2 linked regions of the Anolis sagrei genome follow. The protein of the gene in region 1 interacts with the protein of each later gene in a pairwise test. Links are inferred from orthologs where the notes say so. Each region holds a gene or a part of one and is shown in the gene's direction. Other genes may lie near its edges. The genes, in order: MAB21L3 and AGGF1.

Region 1 (12,863 bases):
TACTAGAGGGAAGCGGCATCCCCTTTGAAGTGTGGACCGACCATAAAAACTTACAATACCTCACCTCACCCAGGCAACTGTCAGCAAAACAAATAAGATGGGCTCAGTATTTCAGTAGATTCGATTTTAAGCTGCGTTTCCAAAAGGGGAAACAAAATGTGGTCGCAGACACGTTGTCGAGAATGCCGGAGGATGAAGGGAGGGGGCGAAGCCCGAAGGGGAGCATATTCTCAGAACGGCAGTGGGGCATGGCAGTGCAAACACGAGCGCAAACGGAACGCAGCCAGAGGCTGGTGGGGGTTGAGAGCAGAGACGGAGGATGGGAGGAGGAGATAAGGCAGGCATGCAGGGAGGATGAGTGGCTGGAAAGAAACAAGGAAAAGGTGGAATGGAAGAATGGGTTGGGATTTGTACATAGAAAGTTATACATCCCAGGCAACCTGAGGGAAAAAATGATGGTCAGATGCCACGGCAGTAAGGGAGCGGGACACTGGGGAGTAACGAAAACCCTAAAAATGTTGGCACGTCAGTGTTGGTGGCCAGGGATGAGGAATGACACCAAAATGTATGTATCCCGGTGCGATGCGTGTGCACAGAGTAAGACAACCCCACAAAAACCAACGGGGTTATTGCAAAAGGTGGCAGAACCATCACAACCGTGGAGGGTAATTGCTATGGACTTTGTGGGCGAACTCCCAGTTAGCCGAGGTCAACGTTACATATGGACGGTAATGGATCTGTTCTCAAAGCAAGCGCATTTCATAGCGCTACCTAAATTACCATCTGCAGAGAAATTGGCTGAGCTATTTATCAAACACATCTATCGGTTACATGGTTGTCCAGACCAGGTGATTAGTGACCGAGGGGTGCGATTTACGGCCCGGTTCTGGGAAGAGTTCATGCAGTTGATGGGGGTGGAACGGACCCTGAGTTCAGCGTTCCATCCCATGACCAATGGGGGGGTCGAACGCACGCAACAAACCTTGGGGCTGTTCCTAAGGACATACACAAACCAATGCCAAACCGATTGGGCCGATTTACTCCCGTTTGCAGAAATTGCGTATAATGGAGCCTGTCACGCATCCACAGGGAAATCCCCCTTTGAAATAGTGTACGGCATGGAAGTAACCCCTTTACCCAAACTGCCGAGTTGGGGGGAAGAGCTGGGGGGAAAGGAAGGATGGCCTGACAAAATGAAGGCGAACTGGGAGGAGGTGGCAAAATCACTACGAGAGGCCCAACGAAAATATAAACTGTTTGCAGATCGAAAGAGGAGGGAAGGTGATAAGTTGGAGGAGGGGGATTTAGTATGGCTGAGCACAAAAAACCTCAAGCTAAATACCCCCTCTCGGAAATTGTCTCCCAAATATATTGGTCCCTTTAGGATTTCTAGCAAAATAAATGAAGTGACATATACTCTGAAACTCCCTAAGACATTGGGGAAGGTACATCCGACATTCCATTGTAATTTGCTAAAGAAATACCAAGGCCCACTAGACAAAGAAGGGACATAATGGTGACGTATATTTCCCTTCCAGGAAGAAGAAGAGGTGGAGGGGGACATTATGTCAGGACTCGGTTTCCTGGCCTTGGACGTTGGCGCAAAAAACCGGATTCCTGACATGGAGAACTGATAAGGAATTGCAGCTGGTGGCCTTGGGAGGGCCGTTGGTGGTTTGGCGGGGAATATTGCGCGGGATCTTTGTCAGGCGGGAAGAGGGGATTCGAATGTGAGGGAGGGTATATAAGAGTTGACTTGCGTCCGTGTGCCAATCCTGGCTTTCATTGTGTATATGCATCCAGTAGTAAAAGTTTCCTGATTGATTACGGATTGGCGTCCTGTGTCCTTTCTGGGAGCGGCTGCTGTGAGCTTACATATGTGTACACTGTAATCCGCCCTGAGTCCCCTGCGGGGTGAGAAGGGTGGAATATAAAAGCTGTAAATAACAAAATAATAATAAATATATACATATGCCTCTAGAACATGGCCATATAATATATATATACATACTAGCTGTGCCCTGCCACGCGTTGCTGTGGCCTATAGTAAAACTTATCAAAGTTGAGGTAGATATCTGGACTATTATGAAAGAGAGGTCCCTACCTATTCCTTCCCCCTTTTCCTCCCCCTTTCTCTACTTTCTTCCTTCTCTACCTCTTTCTTTCTTTCCTTCTTTCACTACTTGGTTTCATCCTTCTCTCTTTCCTTCATTCCCTCCCCCTTTCTTCCTTTGCCTTTCTTCCCGCCCTGTTTGCTTCCTTCTTCCACTTTTTATTTCCTTTTATTTCACCACCATCATAACAATAACAATAATGCAATGCATTGCCTCTGGGACCTGACACCTCTCCCATTCCCCCTAAAAGGGTCTCATAGGAACAATAGCATCATCATCATAATAATAGAAATAACAACCTTTACCCGCCACATGTTGCTGTGGCCAATCTTCCCTCTTTCTCTCCTTCTTTCCCTCCCTCCCTCCCTCCTTCCTTCCTTCCTTCCCATCTTTCCTTCTCCTCTTCTTTCTCTATCTCTTTCCTTCCTTCCCCCTTTTTCTTTCTCTTCTGCTGTCTCTCTTTTCTTTCCTTCCATCTTTCCTTTTCTTTCCTTTTCTTCTTCCTCTAACTTTCCTTCCTTCCCCCTTTTTCTTTACCTTCCTTTCTCTTTCTTCCTTCTTTCCTTCCTTCCTGTCTTTCCTAGATTTTGACAGGGCGGGAAGGGGCGGGGTGGGGTTTGGAGGTGGCCTGAAGTAAAAGGAGGTAAGATTGGGGCAGGGGAGTGATGGAGCGTGGGGTTGCGTGTGTGTGTGCGGCGGCGGGGGGGAGTGGGGTTGCGTGTGTGTGCGGCGGTGGGGGGAGTGATGGAGCCTGGGGTTGCGTGTGTGTGTGCGGCGGCGGGGGGAGTGATGGAGCGTGGGGTTGCGTGTGTGTGTGTGCGGCAGGGGGTGTGTGTGTGCGGGAAGCGGCGCGGTGGGGCTTGGAGTGGGCATGGTTTCCGCAGAGGGAACGTTGGCCGGAAGGCCATGTGCGCGCGCGATGGAACTTGCGGCTGGGCGCCAATGCGCATACTCAGTTGTTTTGCCGTTTTGTGAGTGTGTTGTGTTGTTTTTCATTTTGAGTAGATATGTTTGTACCTTGTGGGTTGTGTTATGGGCATGGGAATTTTGGTTAAGTTTCGTTGGGGTTTTCTTGAGTTTTGTTCTTTTGCTGTTTTGTGAGTGTGTTGCTGTGTTGTTTTTCATTTTGAGTAGATATGTTTGTACCTTGTGGGTTGTGTTATGGGCACGGGGATTTTAGTTAAGTTTCGTTGGGGGATTTTTGAGTTTTGCTGTTTTGCCGTTTTGTGAGTGTGTTGTTGTGTTGTTTTCATTTTGAGTAGATATGTTTGTACCTTGTGGGTTGTGTTATGGGCATGGGGATTTTAGTTAAGTTTCGTTGGGGGATTTTTGAGTTTTGTTGTTTTGCCGTTTTGTGAGTGTGTTGTTGTGTTGTTTTTCATTTTGAGTAGGTATGTTTGTACCTTGTGGGTTGTGTTATGGGCATGGGAATTTTGGTTAAGTTTCGTTGGGGGGTTTTTGCGTTTTGTTTCCTCGTTGGATGCCCCTAACAAATTTATATATATAGATGCCTCTAGAACATGGCCATGGCCCAAAAAAACCTACAACAACCCACTAATAACACAATTTTTGGAAAGAAAAGGAAATAAATAAATAAATATTGGCATGTGACAGCCCATTTCAAACTCAATACTTCCATGGCTGCTTTTAGCAGAAATAAAAAGACACTGAATACACTCATGCACTACATGTTTAACCTGACCTTTCTGGTATGCTGAACAGGGCAGGCAAAACAATAACACCTCATTTAGTCCAGAATCGATGTGTCCTCAATTACATGTTGGGTGTTTGCCAGTTCTCTACTTGTTTACCTTTGCAACTGTCTCTATGCCAAGCTAGAGCCAATATCAGTCAACATAATTTATCAGATGACTTCCCAAGTTACCTCTACACACTAAGTCCCAAAAGAGTGGATAGCTTTTCTCTTTGATTCCCCAAGACATTCGCATAATTCAGGCAGGTGCCCCATGGATGCCTCTCTCACTTTGTTTTTAGCAATAGCCAAATAAATGATGGCAGTAAGCACATCACTCTCACATAAAAAGAAAAGCTGCAAAAGGAAAGAGTGCTGTGTATGCAGTCCAATAATATGACCTACCCAGTTCCCATCTACTCCAGATGCACAACTGTTCAGAAGGAAGATGTTGATGGATTTTCAGCGCTCTCCAATAAGGGAAGAGAAGCCAAACACTGTAAAGCAAACGGGAAGGATTGCAGCTGTCAACTATCCTAGGAATATCAAACAATTAAAATCTGCAGCATTATTTGAGGTCATCCTTTTCTGAATAACTTTAGATGCATGACCATGAATGGAAAAAGGGAGATGACCTAAGAGATCAGAATCTGCACCAACAGCACCGTTATTGGCTGCATGGAGGAAGGAATCAATCCAGAGCTTTCCAAACACTTCATTTTTGGTGACACACTAAGACATCCATCGTTTCATGACATGGTAATTCAGTTTTACTAGCAAACTTAATAATAATAATCATCATCATCTTTATTTCTACTCCGCCACCATCTCCCCGATGGGGACTCAGAGTGGCTTACATGGGGCCAAGCCCAGACAAAATAATATTTATTTATTTATTTACAGTTTTTATATTCCGCCCTTCTCACCCCGTAGGGGACTCAGGCCAGATTACAGAAGTTCTTCCGCATTCCACATTCCCCGGAGTCTTTTCTTTATGGCCACATAAATTAGTTAATTTAGCCTCCCACACAAGGTGGTACCTTATTTTCCTACTTGACAGATGCAACTGTCTTTCGGGTTGCAAAGGTTGACAACAGGCTACACAATGGCTGGACACCCACTCCAACCTGGGCTGGCTTCGAACTCATGACCTTTTGGTCAGAGTGATCTTAATGCAGCTGACACTCAGCCAGCTGCGCCACAATCCCGGTGCATACAGCAATAAAATCAAAGCATATACATCAGACAACAACAACATTATCAAAATGACATTAAAATAATAATAGTAATAATAAAATAAAATAAAATAAAAATTATGTTAAATCAACTCCCTTATAAGAGATGACATATGCATAAATTGTAAAAATATTTATTTGTCGTGTCAGAGCAACCAGTCCATTATATATTACATTTCTAACAGAACAAGCAAACAGACAGAAAAATACACAACTAGTGAGTTTGGTAGTTGGTTAAATGTCCTTTGACCAGTATCTGGCCACTTGGAGTGCCTCTGGTGTTGCCGCAAGAAGGTCCTCCATTGTGCATGTGGCAGGGCTCAGGTTGCATTGCAGCAGGTGGTCAATGGTTTGCTCTTCTCCACACTTGCATGCCGAGGATTCCACTTTGTAGCCCCATTTCTGAAGGTTGGCTCTGCATCTCGTGGTGCCAGAGCGCAGTCTGTTCAGCGCCTTCCAAGTCGCCCAGTCCTCTGTGTGCCCAGGGGGGAGTCTCTCATTTGGTATCAGCCATTGGTTGAGGTGCTGGGTTTGGGCCTGCCACTTTTGGACTCTCGCTTGCTGAGGTGTTCCAGCGAGTGTCTCTGTAGATCTTAGAAAACTATGTCTAGATTTAAGTCGTTGGCGTGCTGGCTGATATCCAAACAGGGGATGAGCTGGAGATGTCTCTGCCTTGGTCCTTTCACTATTGGCTGCTACTTTTACTATTTCTTTACTATTTTTACTAAAAATTTTTTTACTATTTTTACTATTTTACTATTTTTACTATTGTAAAAATGAAATGGAACCTATCTCGCTAAAATATTTCATTTATATGTTTAAAAATGTATGATGAATTTCACATAGACACAGAGGATTTTCATTACATTTGCGCAACACACCTACAGACCTCAACCAGCGCGCTAACATATTGCAACACCATTTGAAAATCTGTGAATCTTTATCCTTAAAGCAGAGTCTTCAACCTACCAGGCCCCTACAGATACAGAGTACAAAACACAAAACACTGTCTCATGAACAAGGAACAGTTTCAAGATCACTTAACTTTTGCCCAGATTAGTTGATGGAGACAATAAATCTGTATCAGGACCAAGCCCAATTGCTTTTAGTGACGCACTTTTCTCCAGGACACCAAGCCCTGCCAGTCTCTTGTGACATTATAACAACACAATGGGGAAAAGATTGCCAATGGAACACACTGCAAAGCTGTTTGCTTGTTTGTTTTGAAGTGGCCTTTTGTAGTTTGGAATATACCGCCTATGTCCCTGTCATTGTGATGCAAACCTTTTGCGAAAAGCCACTCGCTCTTGTTCGATTGATAAAAGGCCCGATCAATTATTTCCACTTTCAGAACAATTTATGTTGTGTATGTGGGCTTATTTGGGCAGCTGGCAGCTAACAAGCGGCAGCTTAGTGTGTGTTTACAGTCAAGAAAGCAAAGCCAACTGCAGGCAAGGCCCAAGTGGTGTGGCATTTACTGTCAATATATCAGGAAAGAGAAAGAAGTGATAAGGAGCGATTGGGAGAAGGACTGGGAGGAAGTTGGATAATTTGCAAACTTTCTGGGCTGAACAAACAATATGCATGGTGATCATGAAATTTTGATTTTTGAAGTGCAAATGGGATTTTAAATGCTCTGATTTAAAATTAAAGAATCTAACTTTCTAACTGTCTCTATTACTTATGTGAAGGCTCAAAAGGAAAAGCAAACAAATGTGGGGGAAAAATTGGGAATGTTAAGTGGGGTTGAAAATTGAAATGCAGGACCCAAGGAAGAATTCCATTCGTACTTCTTCATTTGCAGGAAAAGGAAGCATTTTTGAGGTGGAGTTGAATATACTGGGATTGTTATCCCTGCAGAAACATCAGAAGTCTTTCTCTGGAGAAACACGGAGCATCAGTTCTTACCATGAAGCAACTCACTGAAGAAGCTATAGAGCAATACATTCAGAGTAAGGTAAGGATGCTCCTTTTGTCTTTTGGAACTGGATTTTGTTTTCAAACCCTCAAAGAAGGAATCTTCAGATTATGGCCTTGGAATTTTACTTGAGCCCCAAGTCCAAGAATATGTACAAATATGCTACCTATTATCAGTATGTACAAATATATTACCTGTAGCATGCAGGCCCATAGCCAGGATTTCGTTTCGGGAGGGGGGGTGTGTGATTTTTTTTCAGGGGGGTTTCGGGGGGGGGGCTGAGTTGGGAGGGCTGAGTCTGAGTGAAAGAGGGTCTACCCTAGCAAACCTTTTGTATCATTACGCCAATACCCCCCATGCATATGGGATATATTGAGTATGGTGATCAGATCATGATATGAATAAACATAACAGTTTAAATAATGCACCAATAAGGCCTTTTCGCGAACCACCATGACAAATTTTTTTGGGGGGGGGGGCTGAAGCCCCTCGAGGCCCCCCCCCCCCCCCCAGCTACATGCCTGGTAGCATGTGGACTGGAGATGTTGCAAGAAAGTAATATAACTGCTGGGTTATATCTGCAGGTGGATGTGAGGCACCGAGTGGTCTCCAAAATTGTGGATGAAGTGCAGAAAATCATACAGCGGCTAACCACAGATATTAGCAACAAGGATCCCCGTTTCCAAGCAATTTCCAACTCTGGCATTCATAATGAGAACATGAAGGTAAGAGTGGAGGTTCTTTTGCCAGTGTATGTGTTCAGTGAATGAGTAATTGAGTCAATGCTCAGATCCATTCAAGGGTAAAACCATACTTTACATCATTATTATCATTACTATTAATATATTTTGTCTGTTTTTTCCCTTAAAGCTAGGGAAAATATTTTAAAAATCTCTTTAAGAAACAACAACAACACAGTACAATTAAAGCAATATAGCATACTGTTAAGAGCCCTTTCTTTTAAATCCTCGTTTTAAAACTCCTGTTGGAATAGAGAAGTCTTTCCCAGCTAAATGAAGGACAGCAAAGGGGTTTATTCTAACTTCCTTAGAAAGTTGTTCCAAAATCTAGAGAAAGATACCTTATAGGCTCAGTACCTATGGTGGAATGGACAAAAGATCCTCTCCTGAGGAACCCAGTACCTGGGGAGGATCAGATGGAAAGATATAGCTATATGAGTCATTACCAGTATTTACCAAAATTGTGCCCAGAAATTGATCAACAGCTTGTGGACCTGTTGCAGTAAGGAAGTTGCATGAACCCTGTGACCAATCCTAATGAACAATCTAGTCGCAACACTTTGGGCAACCTGAAGCTTGGAACATGTTACAATAATCCAGACAGATGTTGCGTGGCCAGATCAGCCACAGGTGGAATGTTAGAACTGGCCCAGGACTTCAACCCATGTATTTCAGGCTCCATTTCCATCCGCTTTGGAAACAGAGCTCCACAGGAGTCCCATGGAGGTCATCACAGGGTGAGACTTTGTGGGTCTTCCTTTGGAAATGAAGCCTGAAATCCCCAAATAAGAAAGTGACAGAAAGCAGGCGGTGGAGGGGTATGGACCTCAATACAGGAGGGACGAGGGATGGCTGGCCATCTCAGAAGATGGCAAAAGACAGGAGGGAAAGGGGTAATTCTGTTCCCTTCACTTTCCCTCACTTTCCCCCCACTGGTGGGATGAGGTCCCCAGTTTGTGCATCTCTCTGTTTGCTTCTGCAAAACTACAGTGCAGCAGCCTTAATGAGACATATGCAGGATTGGGCTGTGGGCAGCATTCATAAAAGAACCAGGAGCCAAGGAAGGAATATATTCCATGCATCTAATAAAGTAGATCCAGTCTGTGAAAGCTTCTGCTACAAACGTATGTATTTCAGGTTGTGTTCAAAGATTCACTTTGTACACATACTCCAGTAGTATATGATAGATGCATACATCTATCATATTATATGGAAGTGCTATAAACATATAAGTGCTATAAACCAGTTGCTTCCAAATGGGAAGCATTCAAGCAGGATATGAGTACAAGAACACTCCTGCTCATGTGTGCCACCATGCTGTCTCAGTGTCAGGATCCTATGTCTAGGATCCACCATAGTTTAAAGGGTGTGTTGCCTTTGACTGCTAAATCTGCTAAACCTTATTAGCTTCTCTGTGAGAATGTCATGGGAGATCTTATCAAGGGCCTTACTGAAATCAGGATATGCTACATCCACAACATTCCCTTCATCTACCAAGCTTTGCTTCCTTCCCATCACTCAGCTTCATTATATTATAATGGGGGTGGGAAGAAGCTTCCCTGATGACATTTTTTCCTCTATGTATTTTGTCTCTATGGAAGCCAGGGCTTATATAGGAGAGAAGGGTATGCTGAGAATCAAGTACTTTGAGGGAGCACAGCTAATTCCTGCAGCCTATGAAACAGGAGTGTGAACACAATTGCCCTTCCCTATTTCTCAGTATGAGAAGTAGAAGAAGCCAGGTCAGGATGGGTAGTGTATTTAATCTGGGAAGCAGAAGATGCAAGAGCTGTATTCTGAAATCCATCTTTCTTCTCTGCATTCCTGGTATTGAACTGTGCAGTGCTGTTTGGGATGTCATGTGGAAGTGGGATCTCGTTGTGTGTTAGCCAGGAGTGTCTGTCTGTTGGAGTGGGAAAGTCTAAATGAAGTTCAACAACATTGCTCCCCCAAAAACACACTAATTGGGTAAGTTCTGCTTGGAAGCTAAAGAATGGTAGGGTATCACTGTTTCTGCTTTCAGGCTGGATTTGGCTCACATTTCAATTCCAAACCTGCATTTCCAGAATGACGTCTTGTCGGAACCACCTTACAGTAACATTTTGGTAAATGTAAGAGGGTTTTGAGCTTTAAGGGACGCATTTCAAATTTTCAGACATAGCTGTACATAGGATGTAGTAATGTGCCTGCTTTCCGTCTCTACCAACCTATTCCTTTCTCACCTGAACAGCAGACAGATGAGGCAAAGAGAGGAGATGAGAAAGATAAAGGACTGGCAGGGTAGGCAGAGTTCACATGAAAGCAACAAGTAGCTTGATTCAGAACATGGCAGGATTGCATAGTGTGTTGCTTCATGCCTTGGGCTAGTTTGAAAAAGTCATACCTCAGAGTTACAGATTTTCTTGGGCATCACTTCAATTAGAAATGTGCATTAACACTTGTTGCTTGATTACTTTGCTCACTAATCACTTTTTTGCCTCTGTTGTATCTCTTGTTTCCCTTTTTGCCTCTGTCAGGATCAGCCAGCCTTACTGGCCAAATGGTCATCTCTACTTCAGGGGAAGCGCCCCTTCCATCCATCCATCCAGGTACAAACACCTTGCATGGATTTTGCCCCAGTTCCCTCATTTCTGTTTTCTGTTTTCAACGATACCTCATTAGATGGACATCACATTCTTCCTGAAATGTGTGTTGAAAGCAGAAACATAGTTTCTAATTTGCCTGCCACCTTAGTAAACCGCATGCCCTGTTTAATTCATAACATGCAATTGAAGACTGCTTTCTTTATTTACTCACAACTAGGTCTGATACAGATAAGGCTCGCTGTGCAAAGGCAGAGGAAGTTAAAAACACCCTCCCTAGGTTTTTCCTGAATCCTCCTTTCACTGGCACCAGTGGAACCCTTCCCTTCTTTTTAAGCCCTCACATATGAAGAACAGAGCATGAGAGTTGTGGATGCAGATGTATGGCTTTAAATCTGTGAGGTTTAAAGGTCTACTGACCTTCTTCTTCAGCTACCCTTAGACAGTGAAATTTCTGTCAGAAAGGACTAAACATCTGAATACGCTATAAAAATAAAACAGCACTATAGATCAATTCCTTTTTAGGCAAGCCCACCCAAATGATTTTTAGTGTATGAGTTTTAAATTATGAGTTTTAAACATTGGACTGTAATTATAAAACTGTATGTTCTTTTAAAGCAGGGGTCCTCAAACTACGGCCCGCGGGCCACTTCTGGCCCGCCAAGGGCACTTATCCGGTCTGGGAAGGAGGAGCGCCCCTCCCTTGGCTGGCTCACGTTGCCCCTCGGGCCTGACGGATAGCGTGAGCCAGCCAAGCCGCGCGGGGCTGCTCCTCCCTTGGCAGGCTCACGCTATCTGTCAGGCCCGATGGGCAGCGTGAGCCAGCCAAGGGCAGCTGCTCCGCGTGGCGTACTTGCGCGTAAAGCACCTCGCGAGATGCTTTACACGTGAGTAGGCCGCGCGGGGCTGCTCCTCCCTTGGCAGGCTCATGCTGCCCATTGGGCCCGATGGGCAGCGTGAGCCAGCCAAGGGAGGCTGCCCCGGCGCTCCATGCAGTCATGCCGGCCACATGATCTTGGAGGTGTCTACGGACAACGCCGGCTCTGACTTAGAAATGCAGATGAGCACCACACTCCAGAGTCAGACACGACTGGACTTCATGTCAGAGGAAAACCTTTAACTAGGAAAATTGTGCAAGATCCAGGGTGGGAGAAAGAGCTCTTGTCTGTTGGAGGTAGGTGTGAATGTTTCAATTGGCCACCTTGATTACCATTTCATAGCCTGACAGTTTTTAGGGAGAATCCTTTTTTGAGAGGTGATTAGCGGCCCTGATTGTTTCTTGTCTGGAGTTCCCCTGTGTTTGAGTGTTGTTCTTTATTTACAGTTATAATTTTAGATTATTTTTTTTAATACTGGTAGCCAGATTTTGTTCAGACTAGAAATAGGAAGATTTCCCACTCTCTGCTCCTGGAATTACTGCCTAAAGAGGGCTAGAATAAAACCCCTCTAAGGCCTCTTCCACACAGCAAAATAAGATATGTGCAATGTGCATAGGATTTTTTTATTGATTTTCTTTTTTAAAAAAACTATAGTCCAGCCCTCCAACGGTCTGAGGGACAGTGAACTGGCCCCCGGTTTAAAAAGTTTGAGGACCCCTGTTTTAAAGTGATCATAAAACCAGTGTTTTAACTGATGTTAGTTTTAAACTGATATTGTGTATGATTATTTTAATCTGTTGTTGTTTTCCACCTCAATCCATGGGAAGGGCAGGTAAGAAATCATAATAATAGCCACAATGACTATGTATCAGAGCACAGGGTAGCACAGTGGGTTAAACCGCTGAGCCGCTGAACTTGCTGACCAAAAGGTTGATGGTTCAAATCCAGGGTGCAGGATGAGCTCCTACTGTTAGGTCCAGCTTCTGCCAACATAGTACAGCATAACTTCCTTTTTTTCAAAACTTAATAAAACCCATTGTATGAATCAGAATTTTTTATTTTTTTATAATGTAGGCTGAGACCTAAAGTTTTGTTTTACGTAGTTGTGAAGATCAAATTAGGTAGGTGACGTCCCCCATTCTCCATACATTGAGTAAACTGATTTCTGGCATTTGTCATGACTCTTGCCAGCATAGCAGGCGTTATGTTGGCAATTTCTTCCTGGATGTTGGTCTTCAAATCTTGTAGGGTCCTTGGACGGTTCACAGAAACACGAGATTTCAAAAAACCTCATAGAAAAAAATCACAAGGGGCCAAATCTGGAGAGCGGGCCGGCCACTCCAAATCCGCTCGAAAAGTAGGTCTCAACGGCAAAAGCCCGCTCCTCACTGTCCCAACGCAGGATGGCGACTGAACTGTGTCAGGACAAAACTTTATACTCCCGCCTCTCGAACGAGACCACTAGCGCTCCGCTACGTCTTCAACCGACTGAATGGCGCACATTTTAAAAAAGGAAGTTATGCTGCCTCACCTTGTAGTTCGAAAACATGCAAATATGAGTAGATCAATAGGGACTGCTTCTGCAGGAAGGTGATGGCACTCCATGCAGTCATAGAATCATAGAATCATAGAATCATAGAATCAAAGAGTTGGAAGAGACCTCCTGGGCCATCCAGTCCAACCCCCTGCCAAGAAGCAGGAAT
Region 2 (13,013 bases), about 98 Mb from region 1:
ATAAAGGCAATCTATTCTATGACCAGGTAATTACAGAAAACTACCCGAAAAGGGACTTTACATTGAGGATTTCTTTCTGTCTAACCATTAGACATTTTGTACTATTTGACACCCCCCCCCCCCCCCCCCGGTACTGTCTAAAATTAATATCCGGATTTGCAACTACACTTTTTTTTTCCATTTCTGTTTTATGTCTACATGGGAGAGCCAAGGTGATGTGGGAGATTAGGTTCAAGTCCATAGAACCTGAAAGGCACTTGGTGACCATAGGACACAAACTCACACTCAGTCCGATCTATCCCATAAGCATGTTGTGGAAATAATGTGGGAAAGAACAGAACCATGTACAATCAGGCCGTCATACCCATGAATTCAACCATTCACAGTTTGAAAATATTTCTTTAAAAAGCCAAAGCAAACCTTTATTTTACCATTTTATATAAGGAACATCATTTTGCAATGTCATGGTATATAATAAGACTTAAGCAGTCACAGATTTTGTATCCACAGAAGGTCCTGGAACCAAATCTCAGTAGTTTACCAAGCACCCATTGGATGTCATGTTGAACTCATTGCATCAAAGCTGGGATATAAACTTCAACAGATATTTAAAAATTCAGCAAATGTTGCAGCTGGACTCCATTCCAAAAATGGCGATGACTCATTATTTCATTGCCTCAAAATGCATTGCTAGGTGTAACCCAATTATATGCAACACCTGGTAGTGACTTTAATTATTCGCTTTGAAAGTCTTCTTTAAGAATCTTAGTTAAGAAGGAGTGGGATACTCATTACTTTCAAACATACTGTTAGTGACTTGGTATCATTGTTGCAAACTTAGGGCAGCCCTCGTTACTAAGAAGATACTAGAAAAACTAAAACATATCTTAAATCAGAGCCATTTTTTTGCCATCATTGAATCAAGGGGACCCCATTTGGGGTTGATACCCACAGCTTAAGTGCCTTAAATGAATCTGTCAAATTCATCAATTTTATAAAAAGGCAAATCACTGAATTAAAGACTTTTTGAGCAACTTCCCAAAGATATGCACAGTGAACACCACTAACTTTTACTATACTATGAAGTTTGTTTGCTATAGTTAGCTAAAGTTTTGTTGCATTTGTATTCTTCATGGAGCAGCAATTTCGCCTTAGCAATCGCTTGACAGATTTTGGTTTTTAAATTAGCATATCTGTCACATATTTTCAGTCTTTAAATAGACCCAAATATTCATGGGAAAAACTTATAGTTTCTAAAGTGAAGACAAGATTGAAGCAATGATATAAAAATGGAATTGTCCATCACCTATTGAGCCGAAACTATGAGACATTTCCAAACCTCAGAAAAGTATTGGTTCCACTGCCAAAAGTTGTCTGAGAAGGATATATCACTTATCACTTCGCATTTGAAAGTTTTGCAACATAGCTTCCATGAATATTTGTCTGTTTCTGATGCAAGTACAAACCTGATTCAAGATCCATATTCAGTTAATGTATGTGAATGAGATGGGATCACAGCAACAGAGGACAAGCTAATAGAAATATTCACGGATGGTGCTCCCTAATTGCAATTCAAGCACCAGTCCCTTCCAAATTTCTGGGCTCACTTACAAGCAGATATTCCAGTGCCATCAAAGAGGCTTAGGGAAGTATTGATGCTTTTTGAAATGATATGCTTACATGAAAAATAATTTTTGGTCCTTATTTTACAAATACATAAACATAAAATCATTTGAAAAACATAGGATCAGAATTCACAATACAAGTTTCAAAAAGCCTGCAAGTGAAATGCAACAGAATAGGATGGACAAGAAACCTCTTCCAGAAAATTAGAAACATTGGAGGTAAATTTCAGGCAAAAATGGGCATGATCAAAAACAAAGATGGCAGGGACCTAACAGAAGCTGAAGAGATCAAGAGAAGTTGATGAGACTATTCAGAAGTATAATAATATTGAGGAGAGCTTTGATAGTGTGGTGAGTGAATTAGAACTAGACATCCTGAGGAGTAAAGTTGAATGGGCCTTTAAGAAGCATTGCTAATTATGAGGCAGCAGGAGCCTTATAACCAAGATAAAAAAAAGAAAATGCAAAAGCTGAGTTGCAGTTAAACATAAAAAACCAAGATTATGACAACCAGAATGATTGATAACTGGCAAATAAAGGCAGTGGCAGACTTTGTATTTCTAGACGTGAAGATTACTGCAGATGCAAACTGCAGCCAGGAAATCTGAAGACATTTACTTCTTAGGAGGAGAGCAATGACCAATCTCGATAAAATAATGAAGAGTAGAGACATCACACTTGAAACAAAGATCCTCATAGTTAAAGCAATGGTATTCCCCATGGTAACCTATGGATGTGAGAGCTGGACCATAAGGAAGGCTGAGCAAAGGAAGATAGATACTTTTGAACTGTGGTGCTGGAGGAAAATTCTGAGAGTGCCTTGGACCGGAAGATCAAACCAGTCCATACTCCAGGAAATAAAGCCTGACTGCTCAGTTGAGGGAAGGATATTAGAGGCAAAGATGAAGTACTCTGGCCACATAATGAGAAGACAGGAAAGCTTTGAGAAGACAATGATGCTGGGGAAAATGGAAGAGAAAAGGAGGGGCAGACCAAAGGCAAGATGGATGGATGGCATCCTTGAAGTGACTGGCTTGACTTTGAAGGGGGGTGGCCATGGCCAACAGGGAGCTCTGGTGAGGGCTAGTCCATGAGGTCATGAAGAGTTGGAGGCGACTGAACAAATAACAACAACATTTTTTAATTTTTAGCAAATTGTTCCAGGTAAAATATTATAACACTAATGTGAGAACTTACTTCTTTCTCTGGTCTCTCCAAATCTGATGAACAACTTTAAATAAATATTTGATGCACTTTAAGCTTTCAAATCATGAGTGGACTGCAGCAACTAGATATTTTAAGGGGGACCTTGGTAAAAAAAAAAAAAGGTTATAAACTGTTGATTTAGGCTAAAGAATTCTGGAGAAATTGAAACTTTGTACACATGAGTGGTAATTTGGCTGGTCCCAATAGAGGCATTCTCAAACTAAGCCTCTTTGGCGGGAGTCTGCAGCCAAAAAAGTGTAAAAATATTCAAAAGAACTTATGAATGTAACAGCTATACTAATCAACGACTTACATTAAATTCTGATTGAAATGAACTTATTGCAAAATGGAATGTTGTTGTGTTGTTCAAGTCATTGCTAACTTGTGGGAACACTTGGGCAAACCTAATATAGTGTTTTCTTGACAATATTTATTCAGAAGTGGTTCCTTTGCTTTCATCAGAAGTTCGAAAGTGTGATTTGGTAAATCATTGTGCGGCTTGGTAAATCGTTGTGCAGCACCCTGCATTGTCCTCTTGCCATCCCACAGTGAAATCCATCTGTCCCCAGCTTGCTCCTGCCTTGTCCTCGATTTGTTCTATGAGAACGCAGGTAGTCTCCTGTGTTCTCAGAACTGGCGCTTAGCATGCTGCGTGCACAGAGCTGGCATGGAGCCTCACTGGAAACAGTCATGCATCATGTAATGGGCTCCATTGGGCTCTGTCCTGTCTGCATCTCAGCAGCATCTTAGGACAGTACTGAAAGCCCATGTGATGAGGATGAATGAAAGTCAGTCTCCTGAGGATATCCAGGTATTTAGAAATATCAGACACAAACTGTGCCTTGATAAAGTCTGTATTGTTCTGTCTGCTTTTCATTGAACTGTCTGGGCTTGCATGACCCTCTTCATTGTTTCAGAGGCTGACTCCTTTTGTGCATTATTTATATAATTACCCTATCACAGACTCTTTGCATTGCCTTAATCCATGTGATTAGCTCAGCCTGGGCAAACTATTTGAAATGCTCTGTCTTCAAATGAACAAATGACAGCTCTCTATTCTTCACACCATGGGGGAAACTCCATCCATCTCTGATGCCAGCAGGAGTCCCCAGCCAATGAAAGCCCAGATCCTAACTTGACCATTTTTGAGCCAATCAGGGGGGGGGGGGGAGCTGGTCTTTTGATTGGCGAGTTTTAAAAACTTTTATCACAGGGAATAAAATGTCTTGCACTACCTTGCATGGGTATGTTTTAGAGTGGAGACTCTGAAAGACATCCTTTCAGGCCTGAAAGTTAATAAACTTATGTCTATTGCCTTCATACCACTTGCCTTTACTACTTACTCAGCATCTGGCTGTCAAAGTAGCAATGTGCACCAGACAATAGATCCACACCACTCCTTTGCAGCCAGCTTAATTTCGACTTCAATCATACCATTAACAATGGGAGCAACGTTTCAAAAATTATAAAATTATTAATTAATTAATCATACATAGTGTAATTTTGGAAGTTGAGAAGGAAATTAGCTGCAGGTAGTATTTTACCAGAATTTTTAAAAATTAGTTAACTACAGAAATATAAACCATTTTACCTCAAATATGTCGACAGTAAAATTCATTGATTAGTCCACTGACCATATCAACAGTAAAGGACAAAAAACAAGAAAATACACAAATACGTCAATATTTATACAACCTATGGGAGACATAAATAACTATTTGCAACTGCCAGGTTGGAATGCAGAGAACACAAACTTAGCTTGAAAACCAACCAATCAAACCTGAGTTGATGGAAGGTGCATCTACAACACTGTTGAATTAATGCAGTTTCACACCAGTTTAACTGCCATTGCTCCATGCTATGGAATAATATGAGTTGCAGTTTGGTGAGGCACCATCACTCTTTGGCAGAGAAAAATAAAGATCTTGTGAAACTACAGCTCCCAGGATTCCAGAGCATTGAACCATGGCAGTTAAAGTGCTGTCAAACTGCATTAATTCTTCAGTGTAGATACAACCTGATTTCTGCCTGACAGTTGCAGATCTTAAGCCCCTATTACTTCTGCAGGTGGGGAAGAAAATAATATAGTATTTAAAAAAATATTTTTGTTAACATTTTCTAATTAATAAAATCATTAAGTAAGTAAGAAGAGAAAAAGAAAATCATATGGTCTTGAAAACCCTGCAAAACAATAGCTTCAGAAACACCCTTATCTCCCTCCTTTTTGCATCTTTCAAAGTAGTTTGTTATTTTGCAACAGGAAAATATCACGCAAAACTTCTTTTTCTTAAAGAAAAGGTCCTAGTGTGAAGTCAGAGGCCTTGCTAGAATGCAAATCAAGATTTCACCATCACAGTTAATAGTCCCCTATCACCACCTACTGGAGATTAATGGAAGAACTAAGACGTTTGAAACAAAAAATCCATAACTTTGTAAAAAAAAAAAAATGAAATACAGGTTATTTATTTATTTATTTATTTAGAAGTTTTATATACCGGTCTTCTCACCTCGAACGAGGGACTTAGGCCAGTTCACAACATGTGTTCAAATACAATAATATACAAAAACAACACAATGCATCATCATTACAGATTAAAATATAAGTACAGTAAAAAACATCATCATCACATTACCCAAGCCGAATCGTCAATACAGTCACAGTCACAGTTCATCATCCTCCTTCCATGTGGACGAAGGTTATAGATTCAGTCCTCAAATGCCACATTCCAAAGCCAGGTCTTTATTAGTTTCCTGAAGGTCAGGAGGGAGGGAGCTGATCTAATCTCTAGTGGGAGGGAGTTCCAAAGCCGAGGAGCCACCACCGAGAAGGCCCTGTCCCTCGTCCCCACCAAACGTGATTGCGAAGGTGGTGGGACCAAGAGCAGGGCCCCTCCGGAAGATCTTAATAACCTTGATGGTTGCATCTACATGGCAGAATTAATGTAGTTTGACACCACTTGAATTGCCATGGCTCCATGCTATGGAATCGTGGGAGTTTGGTGAGGAACCTGTAGTCTTGGACAGGGAAGGTTAAAGTACTTGTGAAACTACAACCACCAGGGTTCCATAGCATTGAGCCATGACAGTTCAAGTGGTGTCAAACTGCACTAATTCTGCAGTGTAGATCATGCATAGGTAAACATGGGCTGTCAACACCGTTTCAAGCATTCAGGACTTTGGCTCCCAGAAGTCTCAGCCAAGTAGGCCAACGATGAGGAATTCTGGGAGTTGAAGTCCAAAACACCTGGAGGGCCAAAATTTGCCCACGCCTGGAAATCCTTTGGCTCATTTCAAGTGTTTAGGACTTCAACACAGTTCTGGAATTCACTCCCCGGAGAAATTAGGCAAGCGCCCACCCTGGCAGCATTCAGGAAGAGCCTGTTCCAGACTTGGCTGTTCCAGTGTGCCTTCAACCCCATTGTTTTGTCCCACCTGAACTTCCTTCCAGATACACTACACTGCTCATCTCACCCAGCGTTTTTAAACGTTGTAATCTTTGCAACTGGCCTTGCCCATTGTGCCTAATTATTGTGATTTTATATTGCATTGTGTGTTTACTCTGTATTGTTTTTTGCATTATTATTTTCATTATAATTTATTGCTGTATTTTTATGTTATATATTTGCTTTGTTGTTGTTGGGCTTGACCTCATGTAAGTTGCCCCGAGTTCCCTTGGGGAGATGGTGGCAGGGTATAAATAAAGTATTATTATTATTAACACCCAGAAGCCTCAGCTAAGTAGGCCAACAGTGAGGAATTCTGGGCGCTGAAGTCCAAAACACCTGGAGGGCCAAAGTTTGCCCATGTCTGGCAATCCTTTGGCCCTTTCAAGTGTTTAGAACTTTGACTCCCAGAAGCCTCAGCCAGGTAGGCCAACAGTGAGGAATTCTGGGAGCTGAAGTCCAAAGCATCGGGGGGGGGGGGGGGTTGTTTGCCCATGTCTGGCAATCCTTTGGCCCTTTCAAGTGTTTAGGACTTCGGCTCCCAGAAGCCTCAGCCAAGTAGGTCAACAGTGAGGAATTCTGGGAGCTGAAGTCCAAAACACCTGGAGGGCCAAAATTTGCCCACACCTGACAATCCTTTGGTCATTTCACGTGTTTAGGACTTCAGCTGCCAGAAGGCTCAGCCAAGTAGGTCAACGGTGAGCAATTCTGGGAGTTGAAGTCCAAAACATCTGGAGGGCCAAAGTTTGCCCATATCTGGCAATCCTTTGGCTTGTTCAATTGTTTAGGACTTCAACTCCCAGAAGCCTCAGCTAAGTAGGCCAATAGCGAGGAATTCTGGGAGCTGTAGTCCAAAACATCTGGAGAGCCAAAGTTTGCCCACGCCTGGCAATCCAAGTAGGCCACCAGTTTTATCTACTCAATCCATTTTGGACTTGGCAATCCTTTGGCTTGTTTTAAGAGTTTAGGACTTCAACTCCCAGAAGCCTCAGCTAAGTAGGCCTTCTGGGAGCTGAAGTCCAAAACATATGGAGAGCCAAAGTTTGCCCACGCCTGGCAATCCTTGGCCGGACTTCAACTCCCAGAAGCCTCAGCCCAGTAGGCCAACGGTGAGGAATTCTGGGAGTTGAAGTCCAAAACTCTAGGGAAAGAGTTTAAACTGACAGACGCTCCCCGCATGACGTCTACGCCTCTGCCTAACGTCACTTCCTCCTTGGCTAGGAGCAACATCCGGGGCTTGTGGTGGTCCTCAAGAAAGTTTTCAGAGTCAAGTGGCGCTTGTTTATTTTCCGGCAAGGAAAGCGGCGGAAGAGGGGAGGGAACCCTTGGGCCCGCCCCCTCCCACCCTCTCGCGCGGCCGTTGCCATGGCAGCGCCGAGGGGCGTTGGAGGCGGAGGCCTGTTCCCTTCTTGCCGCGCCTCCTCCTCCTCCTTCTCCCGGCCGCTGCGTCTCAGTCCGGCTCGCTGAGGAGGCCTCTGCTTCCGCCCCTTCAAGAGAAGGCAGCCACAAGAATGGCAGACGAGCTGGAGACGCTGCGAGAGGAAGTGGCTGCGCTGGAGGCCGAGGTGGGCGCCTGTCGGAGCCGCCTGGAGCGGGAGAAGAAGCGCCGCCTCAAGGCCCAAGCTGCTGCGGCCAAGTGGAGGAGACAGGTACCAGCTCCACCAGGCATGGACCAACTTGGGCCCGCCCTCCAGGTGTTTTGGACTTCAACTCCCACCATTCCTAACACCCTCAGGCCCTTTCCTTTTCCGCTTAAGCAGCTGAGGGGGAAAAGGAAGGGGCCTGAGGCTGTTAGGAATGGTGGGAGTTGAAGTCCAAAACACCTGGAGGGCTGAAGTTTGCTTATGCCTGTTCTAGCGCCTATAAAACTAACAGAGAGAAAGAAATTGTAGCATACTTTCAAAATTTTTTATTGATTTATGTGCACACAGGGAACAAAACCGACACCAGAGAAAAAAACCCCAAAAAACAAAACAAAATACAACCCCCCCCCCCCCAGAAAAAAAGATATACCCACAAGCACTTTACCAGAACCAATGATTGCTGCACATTGCACATCGCACTTGCCCTAAAAACCCTTTATGCACCTCCTGTCAAATCAGCACTTTTAATCCTTGTACCCACCTTTTGGCCCAGCCCAGTTTTACTGTGTTTTAATGTACTGTGCTTGTTGTTTATTTTTGCTTTAATTTGTTTTAATTGTTTGATTTGCTTGATTGTATTGTTATGTTGTATTGTTGTGGCCTCGGCCTGTTGTAAGCCGCATCGAATCCTCTGGGAGATGTTAGCAGGGTACAAATAAAGTTTAATAATAATAATAATAATATACAAAAGAGTATGCAAGTTTACAGAATGGTATACAGTCAGTGCTCATTAAGCATATGAAAAATCAACTTCGACTGTACAGTTATACCTTAACATTTATTGTCCCTCTAACCAGTGTTTCTCAACCTGGGGGTCGGGACCCCTGGCGGGGTTGCCAGGGAGTGTCAGAGGAGTCGCCAAAGACCATCAGAAAACACAGTATTTTCTGTTGGTCATGGGGGTTCTGTGTGGGAAGTTTGGTCCAATTCAATTGTTAGTGGGGTTCAGTATGCTCTTAGAGTGTAGGTGAACTATAAATCCCAGCAACTACAACTCAAATGTCAAGGTCTATTTTCCCCAAACTCTACAATTGTTTACATTTGGGTATATTGAGTGTTCATGTAAAGTTTGGTCCAGACCCACCATTGTTTGAGTCCACAGTGCTCTCTGGATGTAGGTGAACTACAACTCCAAACTCAACGTCGATGCCCACCAAACACTTCCCGTGTTTTCTGTTGGCCATGGTAGTTTTGTGTGTCAGGTGTGGTTCAATTCCGTCATTGCTGGAGTTCAGAATGCTCTTTGATTGTAGATGAACTATAAATCCCAGCAACTACAACTCCCAAATGACAAAATCAATCCCCCCCAACCCCACCCCAATCCAATTTTGGGCATATTGAGTATTTGTGCCAAATTTGGTCCAGTGAATGAAAATACATCCTGCTTATCAGATAATTGCATTACAATTAATAATAGGAGGAAAATTACAATTATGAAGTAGCAAAATAATGTTATGGTTGGGGGTCACCACAACATGAGGAAATGTATTAAGGGGTCGCGGCATTAGGAAGGTTGAGAAACACTGCTCTAACCCCACACCCATGAACCCAACCTCCATGACCTCCGACACCACTCAGTATGGATCCCATAACTAACCCACAGCTACCCACATAATAATAATAATAATAATCATCATCATCATCATCATCATCTTTATTTATACCCTACCACCATCTCCCCAATGGCGACTTGGAGTGGCTTACATGGGGCCAAGCCCTTCCACATGCACAATGGAGGACCTTCTCACAGTGACACTAGAAGCACTCCAAGTGGTCAGCTTCTGGTCATAGGAAATTTAGTTTTTAACTTTGTTTGTGGCTTTTTTAAAATATACATTATAACTGTAATCTCAATTTGCTTCTGACATGATAAATAAAAATTACCATGGCTCAGTGCTATGGAATCTTGGCCATTGTAGTTTTACAAGTTCTTCTCTGCCAAGGAGTGATGGTGCTTCAACAAACTAAAAATCCTGGATAAGTCACACACTCTCAGAAAACCCCATGATAAGTTAGAAATGACTTGAAGGCACACAATCACAACAACAAACTGTTGCATAACCACCCCTTCCTCTTCCTCCTCTAGCATAGCTTCCCTCAGTAATGTTCCTATTCTGGGGGGGAAAACCATTCTGCTCTGTTTTTGCCTTGCCCAGAGTGCTCTGTTGGATTAATTTAGGTCAGAAGTGGCCAGTGGCATATCCCATCTTCCCACATAACATGGCCAATGGCCAAGGATTGTGGGAGTTACTATTCCGGCATCTGGAGAACAGATTTCCTTCATCTGATGAGTAAAAAGAACAGATCTGTAAAAATTGCTTTCTATTTTATATCTTTTACATTTATCATATCTTGCCATTTCTTCAAGGAAACTTACAGAAGCATACATGTTTCCAGATCTTGCCCTGTCCTACAACTACCATACCTTGTGAGATAGGTTAGGATAAGGGAACTTGACATCCAAGAATTAAGCCACGTTGGGTCCCATATGAGTGAAATTTGGAATATAAATTAAAATAATTAAATAAAATATATTAACTATATGATTAAATAGAGTTGTGTATTTGGGCTTCCTGCTTTTGGTGTTCTAGCTATTGCATTGTAGGGCAGTGGCCATATAGGCAAGGCATCTGTTTGTTACTCTGCAGTTTATTCCAGTTTCTTGTGTTTTGCCCTCATCCTGTCTGTCTCCAACCTGGTCACCAACTCCACTCATGTCATGTAGCCGTTTTTTGAAAAAATGAAATGCTAGTGCCTGTCTGAAAGCTTTTATCTTGGTGGAGATTACTTGGGGTTTTGTAGTAGTTTCTTATTTGTGACGTGAAGGAAAACTCTTTATTTGTTTTTGCTCGTCAAATTCCAGGACTAGGGGTTAGCGAGCAGGTTCCAAGTATAAATTCTAGTGAAGACTTAGATCAATTCATATTTGTACCCTTAAAGTCAACCTGCCAATTTCTGTCACCCATTTCCTTGTTAGTGTATGTACCTAATACCTTTCTATGTCCTCCCTCAGATTTTGAATTCTTCCATTCTTCAGTTTGTCATCTTTCCTTACGCATGCCATAACATTATCTGGAGAATCCAGAAAATTCCTACAGAGGACCTATATTGTTCTATGTTGGTATAGTCAAGTGACAGGGATAGTTGTACTGCATATCAGAATTTGCCCTCCTCATTAAATTACCATATACTGATTGCTGACAGCCATGGAGGGCCCAGAGATAGCACTTGTCCCCTTTTCACCCATGGTCATATTTGTGAAACTAGCAGTTATGTACTGATATACATGACTTTGTAAGGTTTCGACATAGCAAGTAGGTGGAGAATTGTACTTCCTTGACCAACAAGTCTTTGTTTTTATGCATAAAAAGTATGTACACCACCACTGATGTCTTTAAAGTGTTCCTGCCAGTCTTTCTGATTTTCCCTCATCCAGCTTCTAAATACGTTTTTTTTTTTAGGTTGAAGAACTGAATAAGAAAATCAGTGAGAGCAAAGGAAACAAGAAGGCAACATGCACTGTAGAAGTACAGACAGAAGATGTTTCATCATGGTCAGATTCAGGTAGCTAGCCAATGGTGCGACTTAATGAAGTACTCATGGTTTGCTCAGTAACCTTAAACTTGTAGCTTTGTTTCCTAATGTACATATGTAACAGAAATAACTAAATTAATTCTGCTGCTCTATTATGGGAATGCCAGTATTCAGAACATTCTGCCATATTGGTTTTTCCTGGCTGATTTAATTGTGTTCTATAGTAGTCCTTGTTTTCATGTAATCCTACAGTTTGGTAAAATGTTAATTTAAATCTTGATGTAAAGAATCAAGGTTGGATTGATGTAATATCCTCAGTGTGGGACTACATTTGAAACTACAGTGGCAAAGAGGCTTATGTATGTGTTCTTATTGCTTTTCCATGTGCCCAGCTGATGATAAGAGACAAGGTCTTCTCACTGACTGCACAAGTATTGTGGAACATTTTGCCCTATGATGTAAGAGTAGCTTCATAAACTGAATGTCTTTTGCTCACAAGTTTTTTCCTGCTCTGTGTTTGTTTTGTTTACAGATTGTTTTATCTGTGACCCTGATCTCTAAAATCATAGAATCATAGAATATTTTTATTATAAAATAGAAAGGGGAAACCAATTGGTGTATTTCAGTATGAACTTTTGTGGATTGCAGACCAGTTCTTTGGGCATATGAGGAAGTGTATTGAATGTGTAATGTGTTAGGTTGTTAACTGTTTCTATACTGTAGCACTGAATTTTTGCTGTTTGTATTTGTTGTATTTGTTGTGAACCGCTGTGAGTCACCTTCGGGCTGAGAACAGCGGTATATAAGTAAGGTAAATAAATAAATAAATAAAGCTACAAAAGCTCAGTTAGTTTAACAGACTGTTTCCCCATTCATCTTTCCTTTTTATGCTGCAGTACAGCTATATTGTTTTTGAATTTTTATTTGATCCATTCTTTTATATTGTGATTTAAAATCTTGTGATCTATTTGTACTATTTTATTTTTATAGAAATGAAATATTATATAATTTATATAAAATACGGCTAATTTTACATTTATTTTGCAGATTACTACTACCATAATTATAATAGTTCTGATCCTCATGATTTACCCAGTATACCAGTGCAGTCAGATAATACAGAATCAAACTACAAATGTGCAGATGAGTTACAGTTAAGTGATCATTCACATGTAAATGGCACAAAGCATGATGAGCAAGGGAAACATGACTGTATAATCCACAATGATCAGGTGAGCTGCATTTTGTTATTATATTTCTGATCTGTTTTGCCGTCAAGATGTTGATGTGTACATTTATCATGTATTATTTTTATGATAGCCCTATGTTTGTAGTATAAAAGAGGATCCATGAAAAACTAGCTAAGTAGGCATTATTGAACCTGCATGTACTTACCCAATGCAAATATTCTTTTCAAAAAAATACTATGGTTCTTGTTATTTCATATGTTCTCATATACAATGTGATCCTACTTTATGTTGCTGTAGTCAACAATGCAATTTTTGATGAAGAAAAAGGTTGAATTCTTCAGATAGTTGTATTGATTTTTTTTCATCCATGCT

The links.
Region 2: the proteins of MAB21L3 (region 1) and AGGF1 interact in binary tests that used the Homo sapiens proteins (3 or more experiments, as listed by UniProt). The two-hybrid records come from large-scale screens. The link is inferred for Anolis sagrei from reciprocal best matches to the Homo sapiens genes MAB21L3 and AGGF1.

What each region holds. Positions count from the first base shown.
Region 1 is NC_090022.1:166,383,936-166,396,798, reverse strand, and holds the start of MAB21L3 (protein mab-21-like 3), read left to right. Parts: upstream 1-6,394; 5' UTR 6,395-6,493; exon of another isoform or gene 6,494-6,629; intron 6,630-6,846; 5' UTR 6,847-6,951; coding exon 6,952-6,999; intron 7,000-7,544; coding exon 7,545-7,685; intron 7,686-10,216; coding exon 10,217-10,288; intron 10,289-12,863.
Region 2 is NC_090022.1:264,723,964-264,736,976, forward strand, and holds the start of AGGF1 (angiogenic factor with G patch and FHA domains 1), read left to right. Parts: upstream 1-7,486; 5' UTR 7,487-7,785; coding exon 7,786-7,923; intron 7,924-11,378; coding exon 11,379-11,481; intron 11,482-12,498; coding exon 12,499-12,683; intron 12,684-13,013. UniProt on the Homo sapiens protein: Promotes angiogenesis and the proliferation of endothelial cells. Able to bind to endothelial cells and promote cell proliferation, suggesting that it may act in an autocrine fashion.